Linked DNA regions of Stegostoma tigrinum. Each later gene encodes a partner of the first gene's protein in a complex. Links are inferred from orthologs where the notes say so. Each region holds a gene or a part of one and is shown on either strand. Other genes may lie near its edges.

Region 1 (6,040 bases):
TCCCCAGAATTGAATCCATCAATGCCTTCTCCTTTGGTCTGAAATCAGACTGATACAGAACATCTGAGATAATGGGAACTGCAGATGCTGGAGAATCCAAGATAATAAAATGTGAGGCTGGATGAACACAGCAGGCCCAGCAGCATCTCAGGAGCACAAAAGCTTTTCTGATGAAGGGTCTAGGCCCGAAACGTCAACTTTTGTGCTCCTGAGATGCTGCTGGGCCTGCTGTGTTCATCCAGCTCCACACTTTGAAACAGAACATCTTCCCCCTTTCTAAGCTTCTAAAAGTGTTGTTCAGATTTGTACTTGTCAGTCACACATTGTAGCCATGGGCTCCACTTACTCTTGTCATTGCCATGGAAAAGGGTAATGCTCTCTTCCAAACTCCCCTGTCAGGCAGAAAATACTGAAGTTGAAAGCACACACCAACAGGTTCAAGAACAGCTTCTTCCCTGATGTTATCAGACTGCTGAGTGGACCTCTCAAGCCTCCAATAATGTTGGTGTTGCTTTTGTGCACCTTCTAATGTGGCTGTGACCTCCTGTGCCTCATAGAACATAGAACATTACAGCACAGTACAGGCCCTTCGGCCCTCGATGTTGTGCCGACCTGTCATACCGATCTCAAGCCCATCTAACCTACACTATTCCATGTACATCCATATGCTTGTCCAATGACGACTTAAATGTACTTAAAGTTGGCGAATCTACTACCGTTTCAGGCAAAGCATTCCATTCCCTTACTACTCTCTGAGTAAAGAAACTACCTGTGACATCTGTCCTATATCTTTGACCCCTCAATTTAAAGCTATGCCCCCTCGTGCTCGCTGTCATCACCCTAGGAAAAAGGCTCTCGCTCTGTCTAAGCAGCTTGTGATTTTTATATCTTTGTTTGCTATGATCTGCCTGTACCACATGCAAAACAAAACATTTCACTGTAATTAGGTACGTGACTATAATGAATCAAAGATAGCCTCCAAAGGTCTAGGCCCAAAACATCAGCTTTTGTGCTCCTAAGATGCTGCTTGGCCTGCTGTGTTCATCCAGCTTCAGTTTGTTACCATAGTCTCCAAATAGATCTCTTGTTGTTTGTAATCAAACTGCCTGGAGATGTAATGGCATCCTCCAGGACAGGTGGGACTTGAACATGGATCAAGAACCATTATCCCCCTCTTTCTATCCTTTGGAACATTACTACCTCTGTCTATATTTGAATGATTTAAAAAAAACATTATCTCTGGGCCATAATTTTCTACACCAATTCAATCTTCTACTATGATAAAACAAAGAATGGCATTTGCTGAAAATCTGAAACAACAGGAATTGCTGGAGAAATGTAGGGGGTCTGGCAGCATGTGTGGAGAGGAGGCAGAGTTAACATTTGGAGTCCGTGTTCTGAAGAAGGATCACTGGACTTGAAACGTTAACTCTGCTTTCTCTGCACAGATGCTGACAGACCTGCTGAGTTTCACCAGCAATTTCAATCTCCTACCACCTTGAGGCCATGAAAAGTGCTGTATAAATATAGCCCCTTTCTCAGGAGGTGTGGACTCGTTGGGCCGAAGGGCCTGTTTCCACGCTGTAGGGAATCTCATCTAATCAAGAGGTGCCAAAGCAACCACAGCTAACGATTATGAGGCCTCCAGTTCTGAGGAAGGGTCAGCGGACCCTAAACTCTGCTTTCTCCTTCACGGGCGCTGCCAGGCCTGCTGAGCTCTTCCAGCAACTTCTGCTTTCAGCTGCTGGAAAAGCTCAGCACCTGCAGCTCTTTTGGTTTTGTTCTTGATGATCATGACTCCTGCGGTGGATGGTAAAGGTCTGAACGATGGCAGAGGCTGATTGCATTGCATTTGGTTAAAAGTGTTTGTAAATTAGTCACTGCATGAAGAGGAAAAGCAACTTGAGGCATAGTTACCAGGAGGCAGCTGCTTTGCACACTTCACTGGGCCCTCTCTGACAGGTTTAGTTCTGCTGCAGTCCTTCTTCAATCTTTTGCAGGTAGCCTGGGTTGAGCTTTGGGTTTTTGACCCTTTCCTTTTGGCCATGTTCGCGCCTCCTGTAACTTGAGGAAAGGTGCAGTCAATCTCAGATGCTCTCCAGCCGCCTGTTATAAAACAGGGTTATACAACAGCAGCTTCCCCCGGAAGAAGGGGGCGGGGGGAGGTTAGAAAAGGAGGCGGAGAGATGTGCCCAGAGCTGGGCACTGATCCCCACTCTCACCTTCCCGCCGCACCGCGCACGCGCCAGTCACCCGCTCCTCCTCCTCCTCCCGGCCGCTGCGGGGCGCGGCAGCGGGAGGACCCGCTCCCCGCCGCTACCACAACGCGGTCAGCACGCATGCGCAGGTTGCAGTCACCCGGATTCAAACCATGGCGGAGGAGGGAGACCAGGTAAAAAAAACCCGGGATGGGGAATGTGAATGAGTGAGAGAAAAGAAAGAAAGAAGGAGTGAGTAAGTAGTAGGAGGAGGAGGAAGAAGGAAGGCAGGAAGGGGCGAAAAGAGAGGGAGGGTGTGAGTGTGAATAAATGAGAGAGTGAAAGGGAGAGGAGGGGGGAGGGAGAGTGTGGGGAGGGGGGAGGGAGAGTGTGGGGAGGGAGAGTGTGGGGAGGGAGAGTGTGGGGAGGGGGGAGGGAGAGTGGGGGGGGAGAGGAGGGGGAGTGAGGGGGGGAGTGGGTGAGGGGGGGGAGGAGTGGGTGAGGGGGGGGAGGAGTGGGTGAGGGGGGGGAGGAGTGGGTGAGGGGGGGGGAGAGTGTGGGGGGAGAGGAGGGGGAGGGAGAGTGAGGGGGGGTGTGAGGAGGGGGAGGGAGAGTGAGGGGGGGTGTGAGGAGGGGGAGGGAGAGTGAGGGGGGGTGTGAGGGGGGGGAGTGGGTGAGGGGGGGTGTGAGGGGGGGGAGTGGAGTGGGTGAGGGGGGGTGTGAGGGGGGGGAGTGGAGTGGGTGAGGGGGGGTGTGAGGGGAGGGAGTGGAGTGGGTGAGGGGGGGTGTGAGGGGGGGGAGTGGAGTGGGTGAGGGGGGGTGTGAGGGGGGGGAGTGGAGTGGGTGAGGGGGGGGAGTGGAGTGGGTGAGGGGGGGGAGTGGAGTGGGTGAGGGGGGGTGTGAGGGGGGGGAGTGGAGTGGGTGAGGGGGGGTGTGAGGGGGGGGAGTGGAGTGGGTGAGGGGGGGTGTGAGGGGGGGGAGTGGAGTGGGTGAGGGGGGGTGTGAGGGGGGGGAGTGGAGTGGGTGAGGGGGGGTGTGAGGGGGGGTGGAGTGGGTGAGTGGGGGTGGGGGGGGAGTGGGGGAGGGAGTGGGTGAGGGGGGGGGGAGTGTGGGGGAGGTGGGCATTTAGAACAGCTCAAGATAATTGGAAAGAGCAACCTTGGTTTTGTAACATGGAAATGAGTAGGGGGGTAGAGAGAAGGGGTGAGTGAGAGTGTGGGAGGGAGAGAGGACAGAGTGGAGAGAGAGAGTGTTGGGAGAGGAGAGAGTGGGAAAGAGCGAGAATGCGGGAGGACAAGGGAAGGGGAAATAGGGGTAGAAAGGGAAATGGCTGGGGAGATTGTGGGAGACAAGAGCCAGTAGAGAGGGTTTGGGGACAAGGGTGTTAGGTAGTGGATTGTGATTGAGAGAGAAGGGCAGGGGAGAGAGCGTGTAGGGGGAGGTGTGGGTGGAATGGGGGGACAAAATAGGAAGGGGAGAGGTCAGCGAAGTGGTTGGGGGGGGAAACAACGTGTGGGGTGAGAAGGGCGATTAGGAAGAGATCAAGGAGGGTGAGGAGATATAGGAGGTGAAAGGGCTCAGGAGAGTGAGGTGGGGATGGGGTGAGAGTAGGTGAGATACAGTAATTGTAGGGAACAGGAAGTAGGAGAGAGAGCAGGGGAAGGGAGACAGAGTGTGAGTCCTGCCCATTGTCTGAGGACAGTATTGATGGGATAGAGGTAGGTGAAAGACAGGGGGGAACAAGGCTGGCATACATTTGGGGAATTGGGTGTTGCGATATGGCAGGCAAGGCTGTTACATGCAAGGCATTGAGCAGTTTGATAGAGCTATGAGCACTCAAGATCCTGGGTTCATATGGACTTTACCCTAGAATCTTAAAACATTGGTAACGAAGTTAGTGGATGTATTGCTTTCAATTTTCTGAAATTCACTTGATTCTGAAAAGGTTCCATTAAATTGGAAAATAGCAAATATTAACCCCTCTATCCCAGAAAGGAGGGAGACAGGAAACTCGGCTTCGTGTTCTTTCATGGAAGGTGTTACGAGTTGATCATTAAGGAGGTTATAACTGGGCGTTTAGAAAAGCTCAAGATAATTGGAAAGAGCAAGCTTGGTTTTTTAAAATGGAAATCATGTTTAACAAATCTATCGAAGGTTTTAGGAATTAACAAGCTGTGGATGAAGTGGGGCTCATCGATGTACTAGACTTGGATATCCAGAAGGCAGTTTGATAAAGTTCCACAGAAAAGGAGAGCTCATGGCGTAGATAGTAAAATACTAGCACAAGGACAGAGTTGGCAGGTAGAAAAGAGTTTGCAGATTTTTTAACCAACTTGTTCGGCATATTATGACACAAATGCAGTAAGGCCTAGATAGTATCCAGGCTTGAACTGAAAAGTGGCAAGTAACATTCGCACCACACAAACGCAAGGCAATGACCATCTCCTATAAAAGAGAATCTAAACATTGCCAAAGCCCCCAAACATCATGAGGCATCGCTGAATTCTCTATTATAAACAGTCTGGGGATTACCATTACCGGAAACTCCATTAGATTTGCAAAATTAATACAGTTGTGGCACATTGGTACTGTCTGTACCTCTGGCACTGGGTTCAAGTACCACCTGCTCCAGAGGTGTGTAATGCCATCTCAGGTTGATAAGAAAATATATATGAATACATTGGCTATAAGGCAGGTCAGAGGCGAGGAATATGGCAGTGAGTAACTCGCCTCCTGACTTCTAAAAGCCTGTCCACTATCTGCAAGATCTACCATGTACTGTACTGTTTGGAGTGTGTTGGAATACTCCCCACTTGTTCGGATGAGTGCAGTTCAAACAACACTCGAGAAGCTCAACACCATCAAAGCATACCACTTGATTGGCACTCCATCCACCACTGACGCAACAGTGTGTACTTTCTACAAGATGCATTGCAGGTATTCATTGAAGATATTAAACGTAATCTTTCAAACCGATCACCTCTTAAGGACAAGGGCAGCAGATATGTGGGAACACCACTCCTGTAAGTTTCCCTCCAAGCCACTCACCTTCCTGATTTGAAATTTTTTGCTGTTCCTTCACTGTCACTGATTCAATATCTCGGGATCTCCCTTCATAATGGTGTTGCGAGTGTACCAACAGTGCGTGGAGAGATTTAAGAAGGCAACTTACTACCACTACCTCAACAGCAACTAGGGATAGGCAATAAATGCTGGCTTAGGCAGCGATGCTCATGTCCACTAGTGAATTTAAAAAAGAATCTCTTGAGCAGGTGAGATGTGAATCTGGTCCTTCTGGCCCTGAGTTAAGGACATTACCACATGGCGATAAGTGCCCTTAGAAAGTATAGATAAATAGGACTTTTACTGACTGGTAGGATGTGATGAAGATTAACGTTCCACAGTGATCTATGCTGGAACCACAATATTTTATAGTTTATGTCAGTGACTTTGTGTGGATTGAGCTTATAGCAACTACATTTGCAGATGGCACAAAGATTGGGAGGTATGATCATACTAGTACCTTTTATAATTTTAGCAAGATTGATGTGTTTTTATATTCCATTCCCTTTGAAATAATGACTAGCGATCTATTAGTCTTCCCTATGGGCTGCTGCACTCGTATGTTTTCCTCTTGTGGTTCATGCTTCTGAGGGTTGAGAGATTTTGGAATTCACTGCCAGAGAAAGTGGTGGAGACAATATCATTGAATATTTTTAATTCAGTGGTAGATACGCTTTTGCCAGGCAGGAGAATCCAAGTTAATTGGGAGTAAATGTGAATGTGGAAGTTGAAACAGAAACGGATTATCTACAACCTGATTGAATCCTGGAGCAGGATTG
Region 2 (6,040 bases), on another chromosome or scaffold:
TCAAGCACTACTCCCAAATGCATTTTTTCTTCTCCTTCATTTATAATAAGAGCAACGGCTAGACAAATTAAAAAAGAACACACTGATCTTAAATAAGCTCATGCAGTATTCCACTGAGCAGTCACATTTAGACTGTATGTGTAGCCACTTATCACCTTATAAATGAAGGCATCATTTATTGCAATATTCCTTTTTGTTTTGAAGAAAAGTTAACGCCACTAGTAGAGAGCTTGGTCACAACACTCACCAATGACATTACTTATACAGCCACACTTCACCCTACTGACACAAGCACAAGGAGAACTTACCTGAGATCATTCTTTAACTCGACAACAACATCTTTCCCAACTAGGGATTTGAAAAACGAATAAAACAACTGAAACAAAGATAAAAGAATGAGCTCAGGAATTCTTGTGTAATCAAAACAGCTAAATTTAAAACTTTGTTGGATCATGTGTGAATAAAGGGAGTCAGCATGGCTTTGAGGGGGGCAGGTCATGCCTTACAAATCTTATTGAGTTCTTTGAGGAAGTCACGAGACAGGTTGATGAGGGTCGAGCAGTGGACGTGGTGTACATGGACTTCAGCAAGGCATTTGATAAGGTTCCCCACGGCAGGCTCATTCATAAAGTCAGGAGGTATGGGATACAGGGTGATTTGGCTGACAGGAGGCAGGGAGTGGTTGTAGATGGTAAGTATTCTGCCTGGAGGTCAGTGCTGAATGGTGTCCCGCAGAGCTCTGTTCTTGGGCTTCTGCTCTTTGTACTTTTTATAAATGACTTGGATGAGGAGGTTGAGGGGTGGGTTAGTATGTTTGCTGATGACAAAGGTTGGAGGTGCCGTTGATAGTATCGAGGGCTATTGCTAGCTTCAGTGAGACATTGACAGAACGCAGAGCTGGGCTGAGAAATGGCAGATGGAGTTCAACCTGGATAAATGCGAAGTGATGCATTTTGGAAGGTCGAACTTAAATGCTGAATTTAGGATTAAAGGCAGGATTCTCGGCAGTGTGGAGGAACAGCGGGATCTTGGTGTTCAAGTGCATAGCTCCCTCAAAGTTGCCACCCAAGTGGATAAGGTTGTTAAGAAAGCATATGGTGTTTTGGCTTTCATTAACAAGGGGATCGAGTTTAAGAGCCACGAGGTTATGCTGCAGCTCTACAGAACCCTGGTGAGACCACACTTGGAATATTGTGTCCAGTTCTGGTTGCCCTATTATAGGAAAGATGTGGAGGCTTTGGAGAGGGTGCAAAGGAGGTTTACCAGGATGCTGCCTGGACTGGAGGGCTTGTCATGAGGAGAGGTTGACTGAGCTTGGACTTTTCTCTCTGGAGAGAAGGAGGAAGAGAGGTGACCTGATCGAGGTGTACAAGGTAATGAGAGGCATGGATAGAGTCGATAGCCAGAGACTTTTCCCCAGGGCAGGATTGAATGCCACGAGGGGTCATAGTTTTAAGGTGTTAGGAGGAAGGTACAGAGGAGACGTCAGAGGGAGGTTCTTCACCCAGAGAGCTGTGAGCGCATGGAATACTTTACCAGTGGTAGTCGTGGAAGCAGAATCATTAGTGACATTTAAGTGACTGCTGGACATGCACATGGACAGCAGTGAATTGAGGGGAATGTAGGTTAGGTTATTTTATTTTTGGATTAAGATTATTCCACGGCACAACATCGTGGGCTGAAGGGCCTGTACTGTGCTGTACTTTTCTATGTTCTATGGCAAAGCTCAACAACTTCCTGCGCTTGACTGAGTCAAATGGTTATGACATTAAGTTGCTTTTTAAAAATTCTTTAAATGGAATGTGGGAATGACCAGCACAGCCACCACCCTTCTCCTTTACCCAATCTCTCTCTTCGCGCTCTCTCTTGCCTCCTTACTATCTCTCTCCCTCCCCTCCCCCTTTCCTCTGTGTCTCTCCTTCCCTCCCCCAATCTGTGAAACTCTCCACTCTTCCTTCCATCCTTCTCTCCTACTCACCCAATGAGACACACACAGTCTCTCTCTCTCTCTCTCTCTCTCTCCCCCCCCTCCCCCTCTCACCCCCCACCCCTCACCATCACTATAGGGCTCTGTCTAGAACACAGAACATAGAACACTACAGCGCAGTACAGGCCCTTCGGCCCTCAATGTCACGCCAACCTGTGAAACCAAACTGAAGCCCATCTAACCTACACTATTCCATTATTATCCATATGCTTATCCAATGACCATTTAAATGCCCTTAAACTTAGGCAAGTCTACAACTGTTGCAGGCAGGGCATTCCACGCTCTTACTACTCTGAGTAAAGAACCTACCTCTATATCTGTCCTATATCTATTACCCCTCAATTTAAAGCTATGTCCCCTCATGTTAGCCATCACTATCTGAGGAAAAAGGCTCTCACTGTCTACCCTATCTAATCCTCTGATCATCTCGTATGTCTCTATTAGGTTACCTCTTAACCTTCTTCTGTCTAATGAAAACAGCGTCAAGTCTCTCAGCCTTTCCTCATAAGGCCTTCCCTCCATACCAGGCAACATCCTGGTAAATATCCTCTGCACCCTTTCCAACGCTTCCACATCCTTCCTATAATGCAGCGACTAGGACTGTAAGCAATACTCCACGTGCAGCCGCAGAGTTTTGTACACGTGCAACATGACCTCATGGCTCCGAAACTCAATCCCTCTACCAATAAAACTTAACACACCGTACACCTTCTTAACAACCCTATCAACCTGGGTGGCAACTTTCAGGGATCGATGTACATGGACACAAGGATCTCTCTGCTCATCCACACTACCAAGAATCTTACTATTAGCCCAGTACTCTGGATTCCTGTTGCTCCTTCCAAAGTGAATCACCTCACACTTTTTCATATTAAACTCCATTTGCCACCTCTCAGCTCATCTCTGCAGCTTATCTAATGTCCCTCTGTAACCCACCACATCCTTCCACACTCTCCATAACTCCACCGACTTTAGTGTCATCTGCAAATTTACTAACCCATCCTTCTATGCTCTCATCCAGGTCATTTATAAAAATTACAAACAGCAGTGGCCCCAAAACAGATCCTTGCGGTACACCACTAGTAACTAGTCTCCAGGATGAACACTTCCCATCAACTACCACCCTCTGTCTTCTTTCAACTAGCCAACTTCTGATCCAAACCGCTAAATCACCCTCAATCACATGCCTCCGCATTTTATGCAATAGCCTACCGTAGGGTCTTTCAACCTGCTTCTCTACTCCGTCCCCCGGTCTGGTCTCTGTGAGACAGTCACTCACACTCTATCTCCGTCCCTATCCCTCCACTTCCTACCTCCTCACTCACTCACTCTTGCCCCCCGGCCTGGTCCCTGTCCCTGTGAGACTCTCTCCCTCAACCCCCCCGGCCCGGTCCCTGTAAGACTCTCCCTCACCACCCCACCCCGGGCCCGGTCCCTGTGAGACTCTCTCTCCCCCCCGGGCCCGGTCCCTGTGAGACTCTCTCTCCCTCCCCGGGCCCGGTCCCTGTGAGACTCTCTCTCCCTCCCCGGGCCCGGTCCCTGTGAGACTCTCTCTCCCCCCCGGGCCCGGTCTCTCTCAGACCCTCTCTCACTCACCATGGCACCGACAATGACGGCAGCTCCCAGTCAAACCGGTTCAAACCCGCGGCGCCTGCGCGCGGACGGACCGCCCGATATCGCGAGAATTCCGCCGATCCCTGCCCACTGTGTCACCTGTGTTCCCGCCTTTTCGTTTGATTGACGTGCTACCAGCCTGCCAAGCGGCTGGAAGTATTCATCCGGCTGCACATTGGGCTTAAGGCGAGAGGGGAAAGATTTAAAAGGGATTCGAGGGGCTACGTTCCCGCGCAGAGGGTGGTGTACATGTTGTTTGAGCTGCTGGAGGCGAATACAGTTACAATGACAACATTTAGAAGACGTTTGGACGGGTACGTGGTTAGGAGGGATATTGTCCAAGTGCAGGTAGGTAGAGTTCAGTTTAGGAAACCTGGTCGCCCTGTAATTGGCCAAAGGGTCGGTTTCCATGCTGCATGAGTTTGACTCAAAAGTTCTGTGAACACTTGAGAGAAATACACCAGCAGGGATGCTGGGATAGACCAGAGTAACAAGATTGATAAGGCTGCTGTACTAGAGCTAACGTGGATTAAATGGATGGAATGGCCACCTCCTGTCCTTTCATGACTCAATGAGTGAAACAAAGCTAATCATTCAGGCTGATGACTCTTCATCCAGTACTGGATAAAGCTAGAGATGCAACAACTTTGCTGCAAGTACAGGGGCAGAGCAAGAGGAGATTAGAGGAAAGAACAAGAGAGAATGCCTGTGAGATGGTTGAAGAGATGAAATGCACCTTCCCTGTGAGGCTGAATGCAAACTGAAGATTAGGCAACTTACCTTTTCATTGTAACGCAGTGTGGAGCTGGAGGAACACAGCAGGCCAGGCAGCATCAGAGGAGTAGGAAAGTTGATTTTTTTTAGGGTAAGGATGCTTCTTCAGAATTTCTGGATTTCTGAAGAAGGGTCCTGACCTGAAACATCAACTTTCCTACTCCTTTACTGCCTCTGACACCAGCATTGACTGTTCTTACTATCTCATCTTTCAATAAGGCAGTTTGTAAGATCACACAGAAATTTCTGATCATAGCTTTTGACTCCATTTTGTAACTTTAAAAATCTTTTTTTAAATGCCATTTGATGCTGATTTATATCCTTTCACCACACACCTTTGGCATTTTCACACCTAATTGTCACCCCAATTTTAGCGTACCCCATGTACCATCATCCTTTTCTTCATTTGATTTCTGCTGCCTTCCAGCCTATCATAAACCTTCCATCTTGTCGTCATCTTCTACTCTCACTCTTCCTCGTCATCGTCAATCCCACATCTGTTTATCTTGCACTGGGGTGGAATGTACTGCCAGGTGTGGTGGTGGTGAAGGCAGATACAATAGAGGCAATAGGATTTTTAGATAAGCCCATGAATATGCAAGGAATGGTGGGATATTTTTCAAGGGCAGGAAGGGATTAGTTTCATTTGGTGTCCTTTTTGGCACAACATAGTGGGCTGAAGGGCCCATTCCTGTGCTGTGCAGTTCTGTGTTCATGCCTGACCAGGATTTCATTCAGAATACTGCTGAAGTGATACATTTCCTGGAAAGTACAGTGAGACAGGTCACGGCATCATATGTGACTCAGTTGTCAAGGGAAAGAAGAAGACAGGATGTGTGATAGTGGTGGAAGCGTCTTAGTTCAGAGAATAGAATGTTTTCTTTCACCCACAGATGTTACTCCAGGATGTCAGAGTGCCTTTCTTTTGTAAGGATGCAGGATGTCACTAGGCAGTTGCAAACATGGTGAAATGGGGGTTGATCAGCTGGAGATCATAGTTCATATAGGTACCAACAACAGACGTAAATGAGGATTCAGATTCAGCAGGCATGTTTTAGGGAGATAAAGGAGAGTTTATTAAGCAGGAAGTCAACATCAGTATTCAGTAATGAGGCCCAATCCTCATCATGAAAAAGGGTGACGTGAGAGCAAAGTTGCAAGGCTTACCCATTAAGATGCAGGAGTAAAATTACACCATTTGACCCATCAAGGTGCTCCATCATTCAATTCAATCATGGTTGATCTGATAAGCCTCAACTACTTATCTACCTTTCTCCCATAACCCTTCTTTCCCTTACTGACTAAATCCTGTCTATCTCAGCCTTGAGGGAGGCCAGGGAAAAAATTGCTAAAGCATTGAAGGACATCTTTGGGCACAGTTGAGGTCGCAGGGGACTGAAGAATAGCCAATGTTGTGCCATTATTTAAGAAAGGTAACAGGGATAATCCTGGAAATTACAGGCTATGAGTCTTACATCAGTGGTAGGGAAATTAGTGGAAAAGTCTCAGAGCCAAAATATAAATGCGTTTTGAAGCAAATGGACTTATTAACGATAGACAGCATGGTTTTGCAGGGAGGTCGTGCTTCACTAACTTGATCAAGTGTTTTTAGGAGGTGATAAAGATGATTGATGGGGAAAGAGCGTTTGATGTTGTCCGTGTGGA
Region 3 (6,040 bases), on another chromosome or scaffold:
CAAAAGCACTGACAGATAAATTGTTTAAATACGAGACAATAAGGTATGGAGCTGGATGAACACAGCAGGAACGCTGATGTTTCAGGTCTGGACCCTTCATCAGAAAATTTTCTGAAGGGTCCAAGCCTGAAACATCAGCTTTCCTGCTCCTCTGATGCTGCCTGGCCTGCTGTGTTCATCCAGCTCTACACCTTGTTATTTCAAATTCTCCAGCATCGGCAGTTCCTACTGTCTATATTGTTTAAACATGATCCTTCTCGGGCACAGCATTTGAGTCAAAGAGGATCTAGCAAATGCTTTGGTTCCTTAAGCAGAGATTAATAATGAATTAAAGAAGTTATGACAACTTCCTATACGATGCACTTTACAAAAGCCAAGCAAGTGCACAGCCAGCAGATGAAACCTTAACTGCATACCTCTTCCTTGCTACCGTCTTGCTTCCAGTCGCCATTTCCTCATCAACAGTTGATGCTGTCAGACATCAACTAAGATCCTGCATATTTCATCTAATACTGTACCAGTATTGAATAGAGTACTGCACTGCCTATGCATTTTTACTACAAAATATTGCTTTGTTAACTACAGTAATATAATTTCCTTTTAAGTAATGCATATATTTAGAAGTTTAACTGTATTTGTTGAAATGTTTCAATGCTTTTCCAACATGGGGCATGCTTCTATTTCATTGGGCATGTATTGGCTGCATAGAGGAAAGGCTTAGCATATCCATGGTATTCATGTTTTTTGGGTATCTGTGGGAGGTCCACGCTCTATTCCTCATGGGCATCAAGGATTTAGTGTGTTTTAAAACAAACAGCATGGTTTTCTTCAGGAAAGAGACAGAAAATGATACAGAAACAAAATACTGAAAGAAACAGTGTCAGACAGAAAGCACAAAAGAGTCATGCAAGCAACTAATCAGTCCTGGGAAGAATGCTTTTTTTCAAAAACTTTCTCAATATACAGTTGTAGTTTTACAGTCCATTATAAAGCATAACTTTCAAATTTTATTTAGAAAGGAAAGAAGTGAATTTACCATTGTTGCCTCGAATAAATGCATCTCCATACTTGTTCTTAAGTTGACCATTTACATATTCTTCTGTTTGTTCCAATGCTATATTCATATAACCATCCAGACAGGCCAAAACACCTGGCAAAAATGATACAACTGTAATTAAAATTTATTAAAACCCATTATTAGAATGTTCGGTGTAACATAGCAATGATGCAGAACTGGCTCCAAGGTAGAAGATCATGGGTGGTGATGTACAGTTGCTTTTCAGACTGGGGGCCTGTGGCCAGTGGTGTGCCACAAGGGTCAACGTTGGGTCCATTACTTTTCATCATTTATATAATGAGCGTGGAAATTGCAGGGGTACTGGCCACAATCTTTCAGTCTCCCCTGGTCTTGGAGGAGATGCCAAGGATAAGCCAATCATTACAGACTAATCAGGTTAATTTCAGCATTGGGGAAGTTTTGAGACAATTATTCAGGATAGAATTAATAAACACATGGAAAATGGCGGGTTGATTAGAAATCCACACTGATTCTTCCTAAAGTGGAAAATGGTGTTAAACTAACTTGGAGCTTTCTGAACAGGAAACAAAAATGCTTGAAGAAGATAACATTGTTGAGGTGGTGCACACGGATATTGAAAAGGTGTTTGGTACAGTGCCACAACACAGACCTGTGAGGAAAGTTATAGCTCATGTTATAAAAGGGTCACTAGCAAAATGAATAGAGTAATATATTTTTAGACTGGGCAAAGGTTTTTAAGAGGAGATCCCCAGGGGTCAGTATTGGGGCCCTTGCTTCTCCTGATAGATATTAATTATCTGGATCTTGATGTGCAGGGGCAATTTCAAAGCTTGCAAAAGATATATAGTGCGGAAAAGGTTGGTGGAGTGGGCACATGGGCAGTAGATGCATTTCAATGCAGAGAAGTGCAGGTTGAAACACTTTGGTAGGAAGAACATTGAAAGCCAATATTAAATAGTAGGCACACTATGGAGGATGCAAGAGCATAGGGACCTGGGTGTGTATGTGCACAGATCTTTGAAAGTGGCAGGACAGATAAAGGGAGAGCAATAAATAAAGCATACAGTAGCCACAGATTAATTAGTGGAGTGCAAGAGCAAGGAGGTGATGCTGAACTTATATAGACACTTGTTAGACCTCTGCTAGAGTACTGGGTACAGTTGTGGGTGCCATGTTATCGGAAAGATGTGAACACATTGAACAAATTGCTGAAGCGATTTGTAAAAGGCTAAGCGTAGATCTGATAGAGGTTTTCAAGATCATGTAAGGGCTAGACAGGAGAGTGACAGCGAGAAACTGTTCTTATTTGTTTCAAGAACATAGATATGAAGTGATCTAGAGTGCAAAGTAAGCAAGGGTGAAGTGAGGAAAATTACCTTCCTTCAGTTAGGGTATGGAATTTACTGCCTAGAATTGTGGTGGAATTAGGTTCCATTGAGGCATTCATGAACTCACCAGCTGAAATTATATGCAAGGGCTTGGGGGGAAAGCAGGAAATCAGCTCTGGGTAATGATGCTCATTTAACAGTGCAGATAGAAGGCCTCCTTCTTTGCCAAAAAGTCTTCGGTGATTTTGTGACCCGGTCTTTTTTAAACTAGCGTTTAAGCAGCTGAGGGGGACGATTCCAATACAGTAAGTCCTCACTTTAAGTGGTTTTGTTTCGCATTGTTTTGTTTTAAAGATATTTATTCTTCAAGGCCTGTTTCCCTAATCAATTTACGGCATGACTTCTGATTTTACCAAGTTTGTGAACGCACTTGCCAACAGAAACGTGCAACACTGAAGTTGAACATCATAGCTGTGAATTAGGTTACAAGTGAATTTTTATATTATGACAATCTATTGAAATTCAGGCAAAGAAGACTGGAAATTCATTTGAAGGGACTGTAGGGCTTATATCCATGGTACAGGATTAAATGTTTTGTCCTAAGAGCTAATAATGACAGAAAGAAAATCATCAGGGCAACTACACACTAAATATGGAGGAGATTAAAAAATGCAAAAATGAAAATACAGCATTCTGTGATTTTTTTTAAAAATGCACTTCACTGTAAGACTGGAAGCACTATACGAGGTGGGAAGGGGAAAAGGTTCCAGAAGCTTACAGAAGAAAATACAATAAGACTACCTGAGGAAGTTAGATTAAGGGATAGTGGACTAGGATTAGGGACCTTCCTTTAACTTCTCTTGAATCATGGACTAATCAAAATTTTACACCACAAAAGAAAGTTATTCGGCCTATCACTTTGGTGCTGGCTTTTGAAGCAGCTATCCAACCACATGTATTCTCACGTCTGGCTCTTATTGCATAGCCCTCTTCAATTTATATAGAATTTCTTTAACATTTCAAATGACTTGTTCTGTTTTGCAAATTATTTCAATAGGAATGCAGTGTTGCACATGTGAAAAATGCTATTTTGACTTGTTCATTTGGTTTGTCCAGGAACGAATGTCCAAAAGGTCCCAACAGTAGTTTTAAACCTGATCCCTATGGCAACTCATGGTTCACTCAGTTATTTCACTTGAAGTTGAAATTTTCAGGAATTCAAATACAATTTTAAGTGAGGGCTTACCGTACCTCGATAATCCACGCCCGAGTTCAGTTTGACTACCACTGGTCTCCCGATGATCTGTTTTAGAAAATCACTTGGTGTTTGCTTTCGCAGGCTCATTTTTTTAATCCTTCAGCCTGCATCAGAACAGAAACATTTCCTAAATGACAATACAAGCACACATAATTCAGAACCAACTTTGCAAAGAACTGACATGGGCTTCTACAATTATAACAAACTGTTATCATCAGTTGAGAGCACTAGTGAGAAAGAGGATGAGTGAATGACAAGCAAAAAGGCAGTGGCTAGTATTAGCAGAAAATTCTTTCTTTATCTCCAAAAGCATCAATTTAAATTTAGTAATTTAAATTAATTGCAGAGTAAAAGCTGGATACTTCCAGGAAAGAAAGAGAACTTCAATATAATTTGTTATTTAAATTGTGGATGAAGTTTTGTAGGTAGAGTTTAGGAATAAAAAAGGGACAGCTGGATTGCTAAGTGTTTATTGTAGACTCCCAGAGAGCTGACAGGAAATTGAGGAGCAAATTTTTGCACCATTTGTTGATGTGTGTAAAAATAACAACTAAGGATAATTATAACATGTGATTTCAACTTTCCCAACATTACCTGGGATAGACATAATGTTAAGTGCTTGGATTGAGTGAATTTCTTGAAATATGTACAGGAGAACCTTTTAGGCCAATATACAGAGGGTCCTGGTCCCAATTCTGGTGGTGGTGAGGGAGCATTTTAGTGATAGCAATCACAACATGGTATAATTTAAGCTGAATATAGAAAAAGAAATAGGTAACTTGCAAGAAAAAAAGAGTTTTGGATGGAGGCAAAGGGCAGATTTTAGTAAAATACATTAGGATCTGGTAGACTAGTGAGGAAAACTACAGAAGAACAGTGGGGAACATTCAAAAAGTAAATGGAGAGGGTACAAGCCTAACATGTTCCCTCCAGGGATACGGGAAAGAATAACAAGCCCAGAGAACCATGGATGATCAGAGATATTCAGGATACGATAAGAAGGGAGAAAAGAGGCAGGCACAAGCAGAGGCATTAATGGAGATTAATGGCAATTAGGAAAGCAAAAGGGGATATGGTAAAAGTAGGGAAAACACCAAGAGATATTCTACAAGTATAAATACATCAAGGGGGAAAGAGTGTAACCACGGTGAGAGCAGGCCCCATTAGGGAACAAGTGGGCAATTTGTGGCTGGGGCCAGAGGACAAAGGTAAAGTCGTGACCCAATATCATCTATCTTCACTTAAGAAAATGAAGATGAAGATATAGAACCCTGGGGGAAAGAGACTGCGAGGTGCTTGAGCAAATTGCCATAGGGAAGGACAAGGTTTTGGAGGTGCTGGCAGGCTTAAAGATGAACAAATCTCTGGGTCCAAACAAAAAGGCCTACTGGTATTATCGCTGGACTGTTAATCCAGAGACCCAGATAATGTTCTGGGGACCTGGATTTGAATTCCACCATGGCCAATGGTAGCATTTGAATTTAATAAGTATCTGGAATTAAGAGTCTAATGATGACCATGGATCAAATGTCATTGTTGGAAAAACCCATCTGGTTCACTAATGTCCTCTAGAGAAGGAAACCACCTTCATTAGCTAGTCTGGCCTACATGTGACTCCAGGTCTGTAGCAATGTGGTTGACTTTTAATTGCCCTCTTGGCAATTAGGGATGGGCAATAAATGCTGCCAAGCCAGCCACACCCTCATCCCATGAATGAATAAAGGAAAAAATGAAATTGTGTCCTTGGCTGTTGTAGGAGGACAAGGAGGAGATTGCAATGCCACTGACCCAAATTTTTAATTCCTCTCTGGCTCCAGGTGAGGTACCAGAGGACTAACGTGGTTCTGATATTTAAGGAAGGTTGCAGAAATAAGCCAAAGAACCCTGAAGGAGAGCATCTACCTCCACTTGGAGAGGAAAGGTTTGATCAGAGATGGTCAGCATAGCTTTGGCAGAGGGAGATCATGCTAACAAATTTGATTGAATTTTTTGATGTGGTGACCAGTGTATAGAAAAGGGTGGTGCAGTTGCTGCAGTTTATATGGATTTCAGCAAAGCCTTTGACAAGGTCCCACACGGGAGACCTATCATGAAGGCAAATGCACACAGGATACAGGGTAATCTGATAAAGTGGATTAAAACTTTACTCAGTTGCGACAGACAGAGGGTGAATGTAGAAGGCTGCTTTAGTGAATCGAAGTCAGTAACCAATGGCATACCACAGGCAGGTGTGCTGGGTCCTCTTTTATTTGCCGTTTACATAAATGACTAGATGATTGTGCGGGGGTTTGGTTTAGTAAGTTTGCGGAAAATTCAAAGATGGGTCAGATGCCTAACAGTGAGCTTGAGTGTCTTGAGTGATAAAAGCATATAAACAGGATACTCAAATGGGCAGATAAATGGCAGGTGGAACTT

Evidence for each region.
Region 2: lsm3 (region 1) and smx5 share a complex: the UniProt entries of both Homo sapiens proteins name them as parts of the precatalytic spliceosome. The link is inferred for Stegostoma tigrinum from reciprocal best matches to the Homo sapiens genes LSM3 and LSM2.
Region 3: lsm3 (region 1) and lsm6 share a complex: the UniProt entries of both Homo sapiens proteins name them as parts of the precatalytic spliceosome. The link is inferred for Stegostoma tigrinum from reciprocal best matches to the Homo sapiens genes LSM3 and LSM6.

Annotation. Positions count from the first base shown.
Region 1 is NC_081364.1:2,891,406-2,897,445, forward strand, and holds the start of lsm3 (snRNA-associated Sm-like protein LSm3), read left to right. Parts: upstream 1-2,290; 5' UTR 2,291-2,371; coding exon 2,372-2,392; intron 2,393-6,040. UniProt on the Homo sapiens protein: Plays a role in pre-mRNA splicing as component of the U4/U6-U5 tri-snRNP complex that is involved in spliceosome assembly, and as component of the precatalytic spliceosome (spliceosome B complex).
Region 2 is NC_081387.1:26,630,944-26,636,983, reverse strand, and holds the start of smx5 (smx5), read right to left. Parts: upstream 3,686-6,040; 5' UTR 3,587-3,685; coding exon 3,584-3,586; intron 377-3,583; coding exon 309-376; intron 1-308. UniProt on the Homo sapiens protein: Plays a role in pre-mRNA splicing as component of the U4/U6-U5 tri-snRNP complex that is involved in spliceosome assembly, and as component of the precatalytic spliceosome (spliceosome B complex).
Region 3 is NC_081354.1:46,943,865-46,949,904, reverse strand, and holds the start of lsm6 (U6 snRNA-associated Sm-like protein LSm6), read right to left. Parts: upstream 3,753-6,040; 5' UTR 3,713-3,752; coding exon 3,619-3,712; intron 1,151-3,618; coding exon 1,037-1,150; intron 1-1,036. UniProt on the Homo sapiens protein: Plays a role in pre-mRNA splicing as component of the U4/U6-U5 tri-snRNP complex that is involved in spliceosome assembly, and as component of the precatalytic spliceosome (spliceosome B complex).